Linked DNA regions of Danio rerio. The protein of the gene in region 1 purifies or fractionates together with the protein of each later gene. This does not show direct contact. Links are inferred from orthologs where the notes say so. Each region holds a gene or a part of one and is shown on either strand. Other genes may lie near its edges. The genes, in order: pan2 and pan3.

The links.
Region 2: the proteins of pan2 (region 1) and pan3 purify together in Homo sapiens (co-immunoprecipitation; 5 studies listed by BioGRID and IntAct, with this or other methods). This does not show direct contact. The link is inferred for Danio rerio from reciprocal best matches to the Homo sapiens genes PAN2 and PAN3.

What each region holds. Positions count from the first base shown.
Region 1 is NC_133198.1:34,930,853-34,937,745, reverse strand, and holds part of pan2 (PAN2-PAN3 deadenylation complex catalytic subunit PAN2), read right to left. Parts: intron 5,677-6,893; coding exon 5,406-5,676; intron 2,617-5,405; coding exon 2,271-2,616; intron 1,405-2,270; coding exon 1,308-1,404; intron 387-1,307; coding exon 267-386; intron 1-266. UniProt on the Homo sapiens protein: Catalytic subunit of the poly(A)-nuclease (PAN) deadenylation complex, one of two cytoplasmic mRNA deadenylases involved in general and miRNA-mediated mRNA turnover.
Region 2 is NC_133199.1:25,602,469-25,609,361, forward strand, and holds part of pan3 (PAN2-PAN3 deadenylation complex subunit PAN3), read left to right. Parts: intron 1-2,279; coding exon 2,280-2,401; intron 2,402-2,516; coding exon 2,517-2,589; intron 2,590-2,675; coding exon 2,676-2,746; intron 2,747-5,112; coding exon 5,113-5,257; intron 5,258-6,893. UniProt on the Homo sapiens protein: Regulatory subunit of the poly(A)-nuclease (PAN) deadenylation complex, one of two cytoplasmic mRNA deadenylases involved in general and miRNA-mediated mRNA turnover.

The DNA.
Region 1 (6,893 bases):
ACAAACATGACAATCACCACTGAGCCTCCAACACGACACTGTGATAAATGATTAATATTACTGCAGAATTAAACGAATACTACTGCAATAATAAACTAATGTGTTGCGTGCAACCACTTCCTTTACGCTTCCAAAAAAGGTTCAACATCATCTGATCTAAAAATAACTTGCACACAAACACCTGTAATGTGCAAAATAGCTCTAGTGGTGTGTCATTATTTGGATGATGCGGAACAGGATTATGCACAACAATAGCTCATCACTACCTTCCTGTATTTCTTTGGCACCATGTAAAGATGTGGCTCCTCGTCTCGACCAATGGGAGACTCCGGCACCTGATTATAGCTGTCATAGTCAAGCTCGACATCTTTTATCTTATATGGAACCTGGCAAAAAAAAAGAGGATCAAGATACTGGTTACACAGCATTACTGCACTGAAATGAATGACGCATCAACAAAAAATGACACAGCTACATTACTGTATGACATGACTTCCCTCTTACAGAATATGAAAAACAATACTGATTAAGAGTATAGTGATCATGCATGCTTAATTAGTGATACTTTTTAAAAAATATTAAAGTTCTTCATGTTTAGGATATATACAAAGAACCAACTTCGTATTTTTTCTTCATGCTTTTATCAGCAGCAGGGTGGATTACTGTAATGGACTCCTTACTGGCCTTCTCAAAAAGACAGTCAGAAAGTTGCAGCTCATCCAGAACTCTGCTGCCAGGATTTTGACCAGAACCAGAACATTAGAGCACATTACACCTGTCCTCAGGTCTTTACACTGGCTCCCAGTTACATTCAGAATAAATTTGAAAGTGTTATTCCTTGTCTGTAAATTACTTAATGGCCAAGGAGCTCATTGCATTAGGGATATGCTCATTAAATACAAACCTAACAGATCCCTCAAATCGTTAGGATCAAGTAAATTAGAAATTCCAGGAGTTCAGTGAAAGCAGGGTGAATCCGCTTTCAGCTACTGCACCCCCGTCCCCCGGTGCTGCTGGAATCAGCTTCCAGAAATGATCAAATGTGCTTCCTCCAACATTAGTTAAATTCAAACCAACACCTAAAACACATCTGTTTAGCTGTGCTTTTACTGAATGAGCACTGTGCTACGTCTGACAGATCACACTATTATGTCTTTCTCTTTTTTTACTCCTTTAAAACCTATTTTAACACATTTTAATCTGTTTTGAATCATTTTTTATTTGTTTATATTTTTTATTATATTTAATGGTATATTCTTATACCATTGTGTATGAAACTTGCCTTGCCATGTATTTTGAAAAATTACCTGGTTTCTGGGACGGGTTCTAGGATTTGGTGCGTATCCAATAAATCCCACAGTTTTCATTGTCCTCAGAATCTCTGGGTCTACTGGAGGCGCTCGTCTGACAGTGAAACAAACACATCAACATCCATAAACATCCCCAAAAAATGTCATTTGTTAAGAGATTTACTGTCCAAAAACTGTGTAAAGAAAACTGGCATGGAAAAGAGATGCAAGAAAAATTACAATAAATATACATCTCTACTAAATGAAAATACCAAAAGCATATCATAATAGATTGAGCACATTTACAGAAATGTACTGCAGGGGGCAGTATTACACAATAAGCCTCTGACACACAGGTATGTTCAGAAATGAAATATGGAATGAATATATCGTGCACATTATGAAAATATGTATTTATGCATGAACAATCCAGATTTTTTTTACAAAAATAGGCACTACACAAGAAAATTACATATTTATATATATATATATATATATATATATATATATATATATATATATATATATATATATATATATATATATATATATATATTTTTTTTTTTTTTTTTTTTTTTTTTACAAAATAGCAGTTTATCTAATCACACTTTACAATAAGTTAACATTATTTAATGCTTGTTAGTGTTTGAATGACCATTATTTGTACTACATCAATTAATCATCAAATCAGTTTAACATTTAATAAATATTTACATCCAAAATTGTGCCAAACATTAGCTAATGCACTGTGAGTTCATAAGAACTTACAATGGACAACTGTATTTTCATTAAGTAATTTAAAAGGGATAGTTCACACAAAAATAAAAACCACGTCATCCTGTACTCATTGTTATTCCAAGCAAGTTTGAGTTTCTTTCTTCTGTTTAACACAAAAGAAGATATTAGCAACGCTAATGGAAATGATGCAGAACTAATTTTTTCGCCACAGCTGCACATATAACCATTTAAGCTCAGTTATACCTGGGGCTGGGTGCGATGAGGGCGGTGGGCCAGTCAGACAGCAGAGGCTCAGTGCTGGTGAGAGGCATTGGCAGAAGAGACAGAGGCATCAGCTCGTGGTTCCAGTCCATCTGCGGCAGTGAGTCCACCAGGCAGGGCAGCGCCAGCTCTGTGTCTCTAGAGTAGCTGTTATAGGACACCTCAGGGGCGCTGGACCACAGATGCACACAGCCGCCCGAGTCCCCGAATGACAGAGCCTGCTTGCTGGAGGACACGTCAAAGCTCATCAGCAGCTGGCCCACTGTGTTGACGTGGAAGATATCAGCCAGGCTGGCCAGGCCGGTGGGCTCACAGAACTGACACTGACCTGCAAGACATTGAAGTTCACATGAATCCAAACTAACCATGTTGATTTTGTTAGCTCACATTGCTAGTTTTGTTGTGAACATTTCATCTGTGCGTGTCATTAAGAAATTTTAATCGATTAAAATTGAAAGCTTAAACTGAAATGTGAAAATGCACTTCCTGTTTGTTTTCAGTCAATTCTCAGATTATGTCTGTCTAAGGTAGTGGGCGTGGCTAACATACTTAACCACGCCCCTCCAATTGTATGTTTTAACAACAAACAGAAATGGTGAGGATGAGGTGTCTGCTAGGTTGTAAGAACTCTCCTGAATTCCTTTTCCAGATCTTTCTCAGTGAAATGATTACTTTACTACATCCAATCAGCTTGAAATTAAAGAAACAAGCCACGCCCACTGTTTACTCATTTGATATTCCGTTTCTCTAGGAACTGCATCACAATATGAAAAAATGGAGCTTCACAGCTTCTAGTTCATGTGGACTTTAAATGTTCTTTTTTTCATACTATGACACATAAAAAGTGGGCGTGGCTTGTTGTTTGTACCTCAAGATGATTGGATGTAGAAGTAAGCATTTCACTCAGAAAGATCGGGAAAAGGGTTTCAGGTGAGTTCTTACAAACTAACAGGCACTTCCTCCTCACCATTTCTGTATGCTGTCATAGCCACGTCAAAACTGAAAGTTGAAGGGGTGTGGTTAAGTATGTTAGACACACCCCAATACCGCAGACAGAAATCTGAAGTTTTTTTTATTGAAAACAAACAGGAAGTGCGCTTTCAGATTTCAATTAAAGATTAAAATGGAAAAATATTTTCTAAATGACATGCACAGATGAATTGTTCAGTACAAAACTATAGGGATGTAAGCTAGCAAAATCAATATGGTTAGTTTTGATTTCATATGTACTTTAAAGCGAGCATACAGTACTACGCTTCTTCAGAATTTTGTCTGTGAAGTTTCCACTCAAAATACCCCATGAATCATTTATTATAGCTTTAAAAATTGCCCTTATTCGGGTTTGAAAACACGTATGTTTTGTGTGTTCTTTTTAATTGCAAATGAGCTGCTGCTTTCCAAAGGAGGGAAGAGCCTATGGGTGATATTCATTCTAACACTCTCAAAACAACAAAACGAGTAAATCTCACATCCCCAAATGCTAGAAATGACCAAGTCAGAATTATTAGCCCCCTTGTTTATTTTTTTCCCCAATTTCTGTTTAACAAAGAGAAGATATTTTTTCAACACATTTCTAAACATAATAGTTTTATTAACTCATTTCTAATAACTGATTTATTTCTATCTTTGCCATAATGACAGTAAATAATATTTGACTAGATATTTTTCAAGACCATACAGCTTAAAGTGACATTTAAAGGCTTAACTAGGTTAATTAGGTTAACTAGGCAGGTTAGGGTAATTAGGCAAGTTATTGTATAACAATGGTTTGCTCTGTAATAAAAAGCTGAAATAAAACAAATAAGATATTCTCCTGAAGAAAAAATATTATCAGACATGCTGTGAAATTTTCCTTGCTCTGTTAAACATAATTTGGAAAAGATTTAAAAAAAAGAAAAAAAAAATCAAAGGGGGGCTAAAAATTCTGACTTCAACCGTATATATCATCAGTTAATGGTATTAAATCATGTTTGAATGTCTTAATAATTACTTTTTATTTCAGTCAAAGTATGTTTACATTTCCTACTATTTTGGTTAATTTTCAGTTCATTTTAATTCAAGGCAAAAAAAAACAGTATTCAGTATTACGGTTTTAATTTGACTTATTTGACTCAAATTTCACTTAAATGTAACGTAGTTTAAGATCTATGACATCATAGATTTGTATGTGAGGACAAGGTTACAAACTTTTGTTATCAGTTACTTTATTTTTTGTGATTAGAGCTTCATTTGTACTTAAAAAGTTCTCTTTAAAAGACTCTTTTATTTCAGAACTCGCAAACAGAATTTAAAATATATGTTTTAAAGCGAGGAAATTGCAATACACGGCCGGACCGTTGTTCGGCACATTCAGCAAAATCACTTCACGTGACCTACCAAGTAAAAATGTGGACAATATGAGAAGAGCCAAAGCAGAAATGAAAACAAGGTAGAACTTTTACATCCAGTATAGACATGTCAGAAGAAGCCACAAAAAATATCCTCATATAATATTAGTGAGCTTCTGAAAAATTTGATTAAGCAACAACTGAAGACGGAAGAAGAATACTATAGAATAAACAGGCAAGCTCCGAATAAAAATCCCCAAACACAAATACTATCCCACATACAGTTAAACCAAATATTATTTAGACACCTCTTCAAGATTTCTCACATTATCACAGTTAATTTGCTATAGTTTCAAAAATAGGGCCAAATTATGACAAGAACTTACAGCTAAACTAGAAATTAGAGCTAAATAATCCTGTTATTGTCAGATGAATTTTTGATAGATACAGTTTGTAATGGATTACAATCATCTATAAGACAATATTTACACAAAAAATCCCTTTTGCTTTTGTTCAGTCAGTTTTCTTACTGGTATGAACAAATGTTGGTTATAATATGTCACTTTTTATACTTCTGCTATCCTCTCCTACTTATGAAAACAATAGTATTTTGCAAAAGATACAAGAAAAATATTGTGTTTAGTGTCTAAATGTTGTGTTTGGTGTCATTTTTGACTGTATTTTTCATGAAGATTCTTCTTTATGTCATTACATTACAACTTTAACAGTCGCTTTCAGAGATAATAGCTGGATAAACATCACTTCAGACAGAGACACATGTGCATCATACCTGTTTGTGAAATGATGGCCAGGCGGGAGGTGTATGTGGGGATAAAGCGGAGGAATAGGGGGTCCACGTGGACCTGCAATGGGGTGACGGCCCTCATCATGCGCAGATCGTACACCATGAGGAACCGATCACAGGACAGCCCGTTCAGACCGCGACTTGAGAAACCACATGCCGCTAACAGGTTACCGTGAATGTCGAAATCAGACAGGCTGCCGGAGAATGCATCAAACTCGTGCTCCATTTTAAACGTGCGCAGATCACGAAGAGACACCTACAACAAACAATGCACAAATGACCATTAAGAGATTCTTTTCCAAGGATTACAATACACTTTAAATATTACGGTAACACAGTAAAGGGTGTCAATATTTTTTACGTACTTTGAAAAAACATAGGTAAGAGGAAGCATTCATAATCTATAGATTGACGTAAGAGACAACTAAATGGAAGAATAGATGCTAATTTCTTTTGTATATGCTGTGATGTTTTTCTAGTTGTTTTGGAAGATGCTGGTATTCAGCTTGAGTGCTAATTAAAGGCTTTACTAGATTACTAGGTTAACTGGGCAGGTTGGGTTAATTAGGCAAGTTATTGGGTAATGGTATTTTGTTCTGCAGTCAATTGAAAAACTCCAAACTTCCAGCCAAACTAAAAGAAACAAGACTTTCTCCATAAGAAAAATTAAAGAAAATACTGTGATCATTGCCTCGCTCTAACATCACTTGATTCTTTCATTTTGCCTTCAACTGTTTACTTTTGTGAAAATAAAATGTCACAATATGGTCAAATAATATATTCAAGTATTAATGAAGCAACATACTTATATGTATGTACCTGCACTAGTGATATTAATTTTACTATATTTTAAATGATTAAAAGCTTTTTGCTGACAAATGGGGGAAACCTGTCCTTTGAAGGATAATGAAGAAGTAAATTAAATTAAAGGAAAATAAATCAATATTTTATGGGTGAACTGTGATCCTTAACATGTCATCAAATTAAAGGCTTTACTAGATTACTAAAATAATGAGGCAGGTTAGGGTATTTAAGTAAGCTATTGGTTAAGTGTTTTTTTCTGTAGCCATTTGGGGGGAAATGGGCTGAAATAAAAACCTTCAAAATTGTATTTTTTAATGTAAAACTGCTTTTATTCCAGTCGAACTAAAAGAAACAACACTTTTTTCCAGAAGAAAAAATATAATAGGAAATACTGTGAAAATTACCTTGCTCTGTTCAACATAATTTGAGAAATATATTTTTTTTTAATTAAAAGTAAAAGTTCCTCCTCTAACCTCACTTAATTTATTTATTTTGCCTTCGAATATTGGGCCAAATAATATATTTATGTATAAATGAAGGAACATACTTATTCTGAACTGTGCTAGTGGTCATATTACCTTTTTTTAGCATTACATTTTAAGTTATTAAAAGCTTTTTAAAGACAAATTGGTAAAAAGGATAGTTTAAAAGTAAAAAAAATAATAATTT
Region 2 (6,893 bases), on another chromosome or scaffold:
TAATTAGACAGTACTAGCTTAGTACTTGTATTAATTCATACTAGTATTTGTAATAGTAGATTTTCTAGCATTCAGTCTGATACTTTTGTGTTCAAGTTTTTACTAGTAACTTTTTATTTATTTTATTAAAATTTTTAAACAGGAAAGAATAAAAGATGATCCTGATTCAGCATAAATGCTGTTTTTAGCAGGTTCCTGCTCTGCAGAACACAGAAACATACAGGCACCCTTACCATCTCGTCCATCAACACAAGAACAGTACAAACAATCACCAAACATACAAAATGAAGAGAGACAGGCTATTATCTCGGTGGCTACAGCAATAGTTGACCTTCAGATGACGAATATGGGCTTTTTTAAGAAGTCTCAGTGTTGATATTGGTTATAGATGTTGTTGGATCTCATTCCAGGCCTTTGTGAATACCTAAAAAATATCTCTGTCCATGACTGTTTTTAAAAGCCGGTAACGGCAAACATTATTTGTCTGCACGTATTGCAGGTAAAAAGCTAAAGAGAAGCGGAAACAGGTGCAATTACAATTTAAAAGTAACAAATAATGCGAAAATGCTTTAGAAGCTCTTTCTAAAATATTGCCTAAGATGCATAATTGTGTATTCTTTGTTTAAAGATGAATATGACAATCTTTCAAAACATGCATTACATGTATTGTGTATCTGTTGTGTGTACAGGAGTAATCCAGTTTTGACTTGTCTTTTAGAATTTATTTTATTTTAATACCCATTATTAGACACAGTTTTCCTAGTTCTAGATGAGTAGACTAGTATTAATATATTAAATGGCTTGCCATAACAAGCGACATGCTTTTGTTTACAGGCCAGATGAAAGCATCTTTAGAAACCTTTAACATAATAACATGCATTTTGTGAGCTACTGTGTTTCAATGAAGCTTTGCTAAAAAAGCCTCGTTGTATTGTCATAATAAAGTGGGAAATGATGTCTAGCAACTTCTAAAACCTCGCTTTAGCATTCAGGAGAAACTCGATGACGCTTTCTTTTATGAAAGCACACTAATCTTTTAAAACACTGTAAATATATATATATATATGTATATATATATATATATATATATATATATATATATATATATATATATATGCATACATACAGTTGAAGTCAGAATTATTTGCACCCCTGTTTATTTTTTTCCCCAATTTCTGTTTACAGGAGGGAAGATTGTTTCAGCACATTTATAAGCATAATAGTTTTAAAAACTTATTTCTAATAACTGATTTATTTTATCTTTGCCATGATGACAGTAAATAATATTTTACTTGATATTTTTAAAGACGCTTCTATGCAGCTTAAAGTGACATTTAAAGGCTTAACTAGGTTAATTAGGTGAACTACGCAGGTTAGGGTAATTAGGCAAGTTATTGTATAATGCTGGTTTGTTCTGTAGACTATCGGAAAAAAAAAGCTTATAGGGGCTAATAATTTTGTCCCAAAAATGTTTTTTTTTTAAATTAATAACTGTTTTTATTCAAGCCGAAGTAAAACAAAAAAGACTTTTTCCAGAAGAAAAAATATTATCAGACATACTGTGAAAATTTCCTTGCTCTGTTAAAAATCATTAGGAAAATATTTTAAAAAGAATAAAAAAAATTAAAAAGGGGCTAATAATTCTGACTTCAACTGTATATATGTGAGCAATTTCAGGGTTATGAATGTGACATTTGCAGTAAAAACTTAAAACATAAATCCGAATAGAAGATATGTGTTAACATTAAATTGAAGCATCTGTTTATATTTTCCAGAACAGTTATGGAACCAGAAAAACATCAATCTGTAAACATGTTTTGAACTTTAAATGTGGAAAATAAACATGAAAAGTCTGCGGATTTACAGTATACAACATACTTTGTAAAAATTCTGTGAATTAAACTGCACAACCCAAAAGACATAATGATAATCAAAAGGATATAAGTTGGCTCTTTATAAAAACAAAAAATATTGGTTTTTATTTTATTTGAGGAAAAAAGTGTCGTTATGGATGTGACATCTCTCCGTTATGGATGTGACGGATGTGAAATTGCAACTTGTGTGACTTTGGTAAATCAAATAGAATAGTTTGAAAACATTGACAGATGCATTTTTGAGTATTTCTGAAGTACTGTAAAACACTTGCTTACATAAAAAAAAAAAACAGAAATGGTTTTCATATTTTGGTGAAAACTTATTTTTCATCGCAAGGTTGACATTTGCACGGAATTGCTCATCTATATACATATATAACACCAAGGTAACTGTTGTTTTTGCAGTCCCTGGGATGGAGGGAGGTGCTCTGAATGAAGCCAGTCTGACCAACTCGTACTTCAGCAGCACCTTTATTGGGGTCAACGGATTTGGAGGCCCAGCAGAATCCAAATATTCAATGATGCAGGTGATGATTTAAACCACAAGTTACTATGTTTGGTGATGTGCATGAAACCATTAGATACCAGATTGAACACACAGTGGCGATTAATACCTGGATACTTCACATGTTGGGTTTTCAGAGGATGACCAGCAGTAGCAGTTCTCCAAGTCTGCTGAATGATGGTGCCAAGAGCTATAGCCACAGCACACACGGTGAGAAAAATCAATAATTTTTTTGTTTTTGGTGGATAAAGCCATTGTGCAAAGATTCATTTTTTAATGTCTGCTCTTATTTTTAGATCCAGTAAATTCCCCAACATCATCTCTCTTCAGTGACTTTGGTGCTTTAAGCATATCGCAGAGGAGAAAGGTGAGTCTCAGTTATGCTGTTTGTATTGTATTGTAGTTGTTCAATTATTTTGTAAGTGGATGAAGCATCTGTATTAAAGACATCTTTCAAAAGGGCACAAGAAAAGGGACATATAAAATATAAAAATGTATACTTTATCAGCAATGCTTGAAGTTCTGTTTACACAGGGTTTAACTTTTAGACTAAATTCACTGGAATAAAGTAAACATTTGGATTCAAGTTCCTCAGTTTTACATTTCTGATGACCATACACATTTAGACCATCTCCATAGCATTTTTGGATGAGATGTCCAGACCAATGTGCTCTGTTCCCTTCTATTGTGCTCCATCTGGTTGTTTTGAATGCAAGAACATGTCTTATGTAAACACTCTCTAAGACGGGGGGTTTTCAATTTTTTAGAGTCAGCGGACCGCCAAAAATGATAATCCTTGCTTGGGACCCCCATTCTAAACTTTAAAAGGCCAACATTTATTTGTATGCTTAAAGACTCTATTGAAATTAAGAAAACATTATAATAAAAAAATGAAAAATATTATTTGGGAAAATAGTTAGTTTTTGATAATTAATATCCCCTTGTTCAGTCATGGCGTAAAGAATACTGTTTCCTGGTCCAAGCCGCTACTCGTTTGAAGTGAATTTTTATACTAAATTATGGTGTACACAACAGGCATGGAACGATAACCGTTTTCAAAGTATTCTGCGGTTAGGAAAATTCAAGGTTTCTGCAATACCGTTCCTAAGATATGTGTACGATTTTATATTTACTTGTTTTTGTTTTTTCAGACATCAGTATCTCCAGCAGAAAAGATGCCATTTTAAATTGTGAAAATATCTGTTTTTGAAACAAATGAAGACAGCAGAAGTCAATAATTTATTTAGCCTGACATGTTTACTGTTTCAAAATATTGTAAATGTTTCTCAAAATAAAATAAATTGTTCAAATTTTTTATTTTTTTTTACCCAGACATTAAAAAAGAATATATTTTAGAGCAGTAATCACAACACTGCAAAAGCGTGAAACCGTGATATTTTTATCCAAGGTAAACATACTGTCAGTATCTTATTCCGGCCCATGCCTACTCTGGACTTGCTGCATCACAGACACCAATATTTTAACAACTTGTAAAAAAGTAAGCACGTTTTGTGATTGTGATATTTGAAAGTATTACATCACCTTGTAAACGTTTATTATCACCATTTAATGAGTCTTGCCATATTGTTTGATAGAGCACTTGGACCCGGAAGCAGTTTCTCATGACGTCACACTTAACAAGCGGACATGTATATTTTCTGCTTTCTGTTACTGTGCTGTTGTTTATTTAAATATATTTCAAGGTGTTTTTTTACTCCTTTTAATAATTGTTGTTTTAATTTATTAATTATTTTTTTATTAACCATTGCCCTAAAACTCAAGCCTAATTAGAATCAAGTGTTTTTGAAAAGACCCTACATATGCAGGAGTTCTGTAAGTGTATGTTTACACAGTAACCATGTAATAAAAGCACAAAAGTGTTTCTTTTGTGTTTTTGAAAAGTTTAGAATTGACGCAACAAAGCAATTCCCGTTCACACCGATCTGCGAAAACCATTGTACAACAATAATGTTGCATTGTGCATGCCAGGCCACTGAGGCCAGTAGTTTTATTTGTTTCAGTTTATAAAAATACTCTCTGAATCTGCACATATATGGTTCTGTCGTCTTGTTGTTTAGGTTGTTAAGGAACTGCAGATGTCAATAATGCACATGCATAACGTCACCGTTTTCACAAAATCACTGTTCACACGGAAACAATAATTGACTTTTTTTTTCCTAGAAACCTGTTGAATCAGCACTGTACTTTTGTTATGTAATACTAGACAGAAAACTGTTCAAGGAATTGTTTTTATTTTTGTTTATTTTAAATTATTCACATAATTAACAGTGTAATGTAAGCTTTTAGAAGTCTACAGATATTTGACATTTATTGAATTGCATTTGAAGAGTTTAGGTGCAAAAACCCCCAAATGCCGTTTTATATTTTCTTCTAAATGTTTTTTTCAACTGCTGTGCAGGTGGAGTAATTTTACTGTTACAGTGAAGAATAAGTTCTTTTCATTGCCTTTTAAGAAAAATAACTGAACAAACATAGGAGGCTGAAAAAAATGCTCATTTTAGGAGAATATTTCAGATGGTACTTAGAGATTTTTGCATCTGAACTCTTCATTATAAAAACATAATATCAGCTCATTGAATTTAAAGAATTGTTTAAATTATAATTTTATTATTATTATTAGGACCTCACAACACCTCTTCATTAGTGGTTTAAAAAGGGACATCTTTAAGACATCTTGAAATATTGAGCTAGGCTCCTCCTTGTCTTTTGTAGGCTCCTAACCCTGCAGCCAGTGAGTTTGTCCCAAAAGGGGCTCCACGAATGGCCTCCATGTCTCAGACAACCGTGCCAGCATTCGCCTCTCCCATTTTTCCTCATCCTGGATTGAGCAGCTCCACAGCGTCCGCTCTTGCACCTGGTCAGTGACTCGATCTCAAAAATCTATACTTGTGTTTTGCTTGGCATGTCTGTCAGCCTTTAACCCTTGTGTACTTTTCTAATGGGGTAAATGTGGACTTTTTTTTAATTTCAGGCAGCCAGCCTCAGCACTTCTGGTGAACTGACTTTCTATTATTAAATTGCTACGCTTAAGATCTGAATCTTTAAAAAATAAGTGATCTTCACTGCCTGAGAGAGATACGTTATAAAGTGGGTCTCAGACCAGCTCTAAATTCAATTTAAGTCTCCCCCGCCATGTCTTTAAAATATGAGTTTATTTTACAACATTGGTGCTGTAAAAGCAACCTTGTGAAATTGAAAAAGTCACATTAAGCTTTCATAGGATGTTTATCATTGGCTGAAAAACACTAGCTGTGCATATACCGCATTGACTACCCTTTCGTTATGTTCGTGGCTGTTTTTGCCTCATTGACTTGTATTATAACCACTTTTTTATTGCAAAGCCATGACAAAATAATCATGTATTCTGTTCGGAGGAGGTAAAACTAATTTTTTATATATTTTTTTGTTCATCAATTAGCACGATTAACCCGCTAGGCTGCATTTACACTGCATGGTTTAAGCGACCCAATTACGACTTTTTTTTTTCCTCCCAAATGGCACTGATTGGATTCGGTGCATGTGAAAACAACGCATGGATTCTGATTTGCTCAAAGGGTTATATGTGTAAGCTTATTTGATATGAATCGGATCTGTGCCTTCCTGTCTGCAGTGTAAGCAGGTAGATTGGATTTTCACCTGCCAATGCGAGTCACGTATCATTAAAAAACCACAGCAAATGACATTAACTCTGATGCTTTCATTTCATTTTCAGTCCCAAACCTTACATTTCATATACTAGAGCAAGAATTATTTATATTGTCATATAGCAAAAGTATTCAAGCATGTGAGAGAGCGAGAGAGGGAGAGAGCAACATTCGCCACGTAAACGGTATATAAAACTGTTGCATACATCACGTGCATAAATCACGCCATGGACATTACATTAACATACCTACAGGTTAAAGATTAAAAGCAGCTTGTCAAATGAGCACTTTTCTGTCATTAACAATAGTAAAACAACTTGTTCAAAAGAATAAAAAAATGAATCTGCGAACAGATTAAATACAAGAATGGAGAAAAGTGCTCTCTTTTATTATCAAGTGTTTAATCAGCCCTACCCCTCCTTTTTTTGTGTGTGAATGCAGACGATTAGATATGAGTCACTTCTAAAAGATGATGTAAGCAGGTCATCAAAAAAATCTGATACAGTCACAAAACCGGAATTGACCATCAAGAACTGCAGTGTAAATGTGAACAAATGGTGTGGGACTGGTAGAGCACTAGTGCACTTGATGCCTTATATAGGCTAGTCCAAAAAACTTTCCATTTTTTTTTGGAGTTCTTTGGAGTAAAACAGCAGATTATAGTGTGTGCGCATAAATACATGTTAAATACACTTACTATGTTTATTATGCTCTGAGAACTAAGCTGCTGCTTTTTTTTTTTTTTTCAAACATATCAAAATAGTGCGCAAAGGTCTAACACTCCCACATATGCGGACACAAATACACCTAACTCCATATAATCATGTCATTTTAAACAAAAAATTTTGT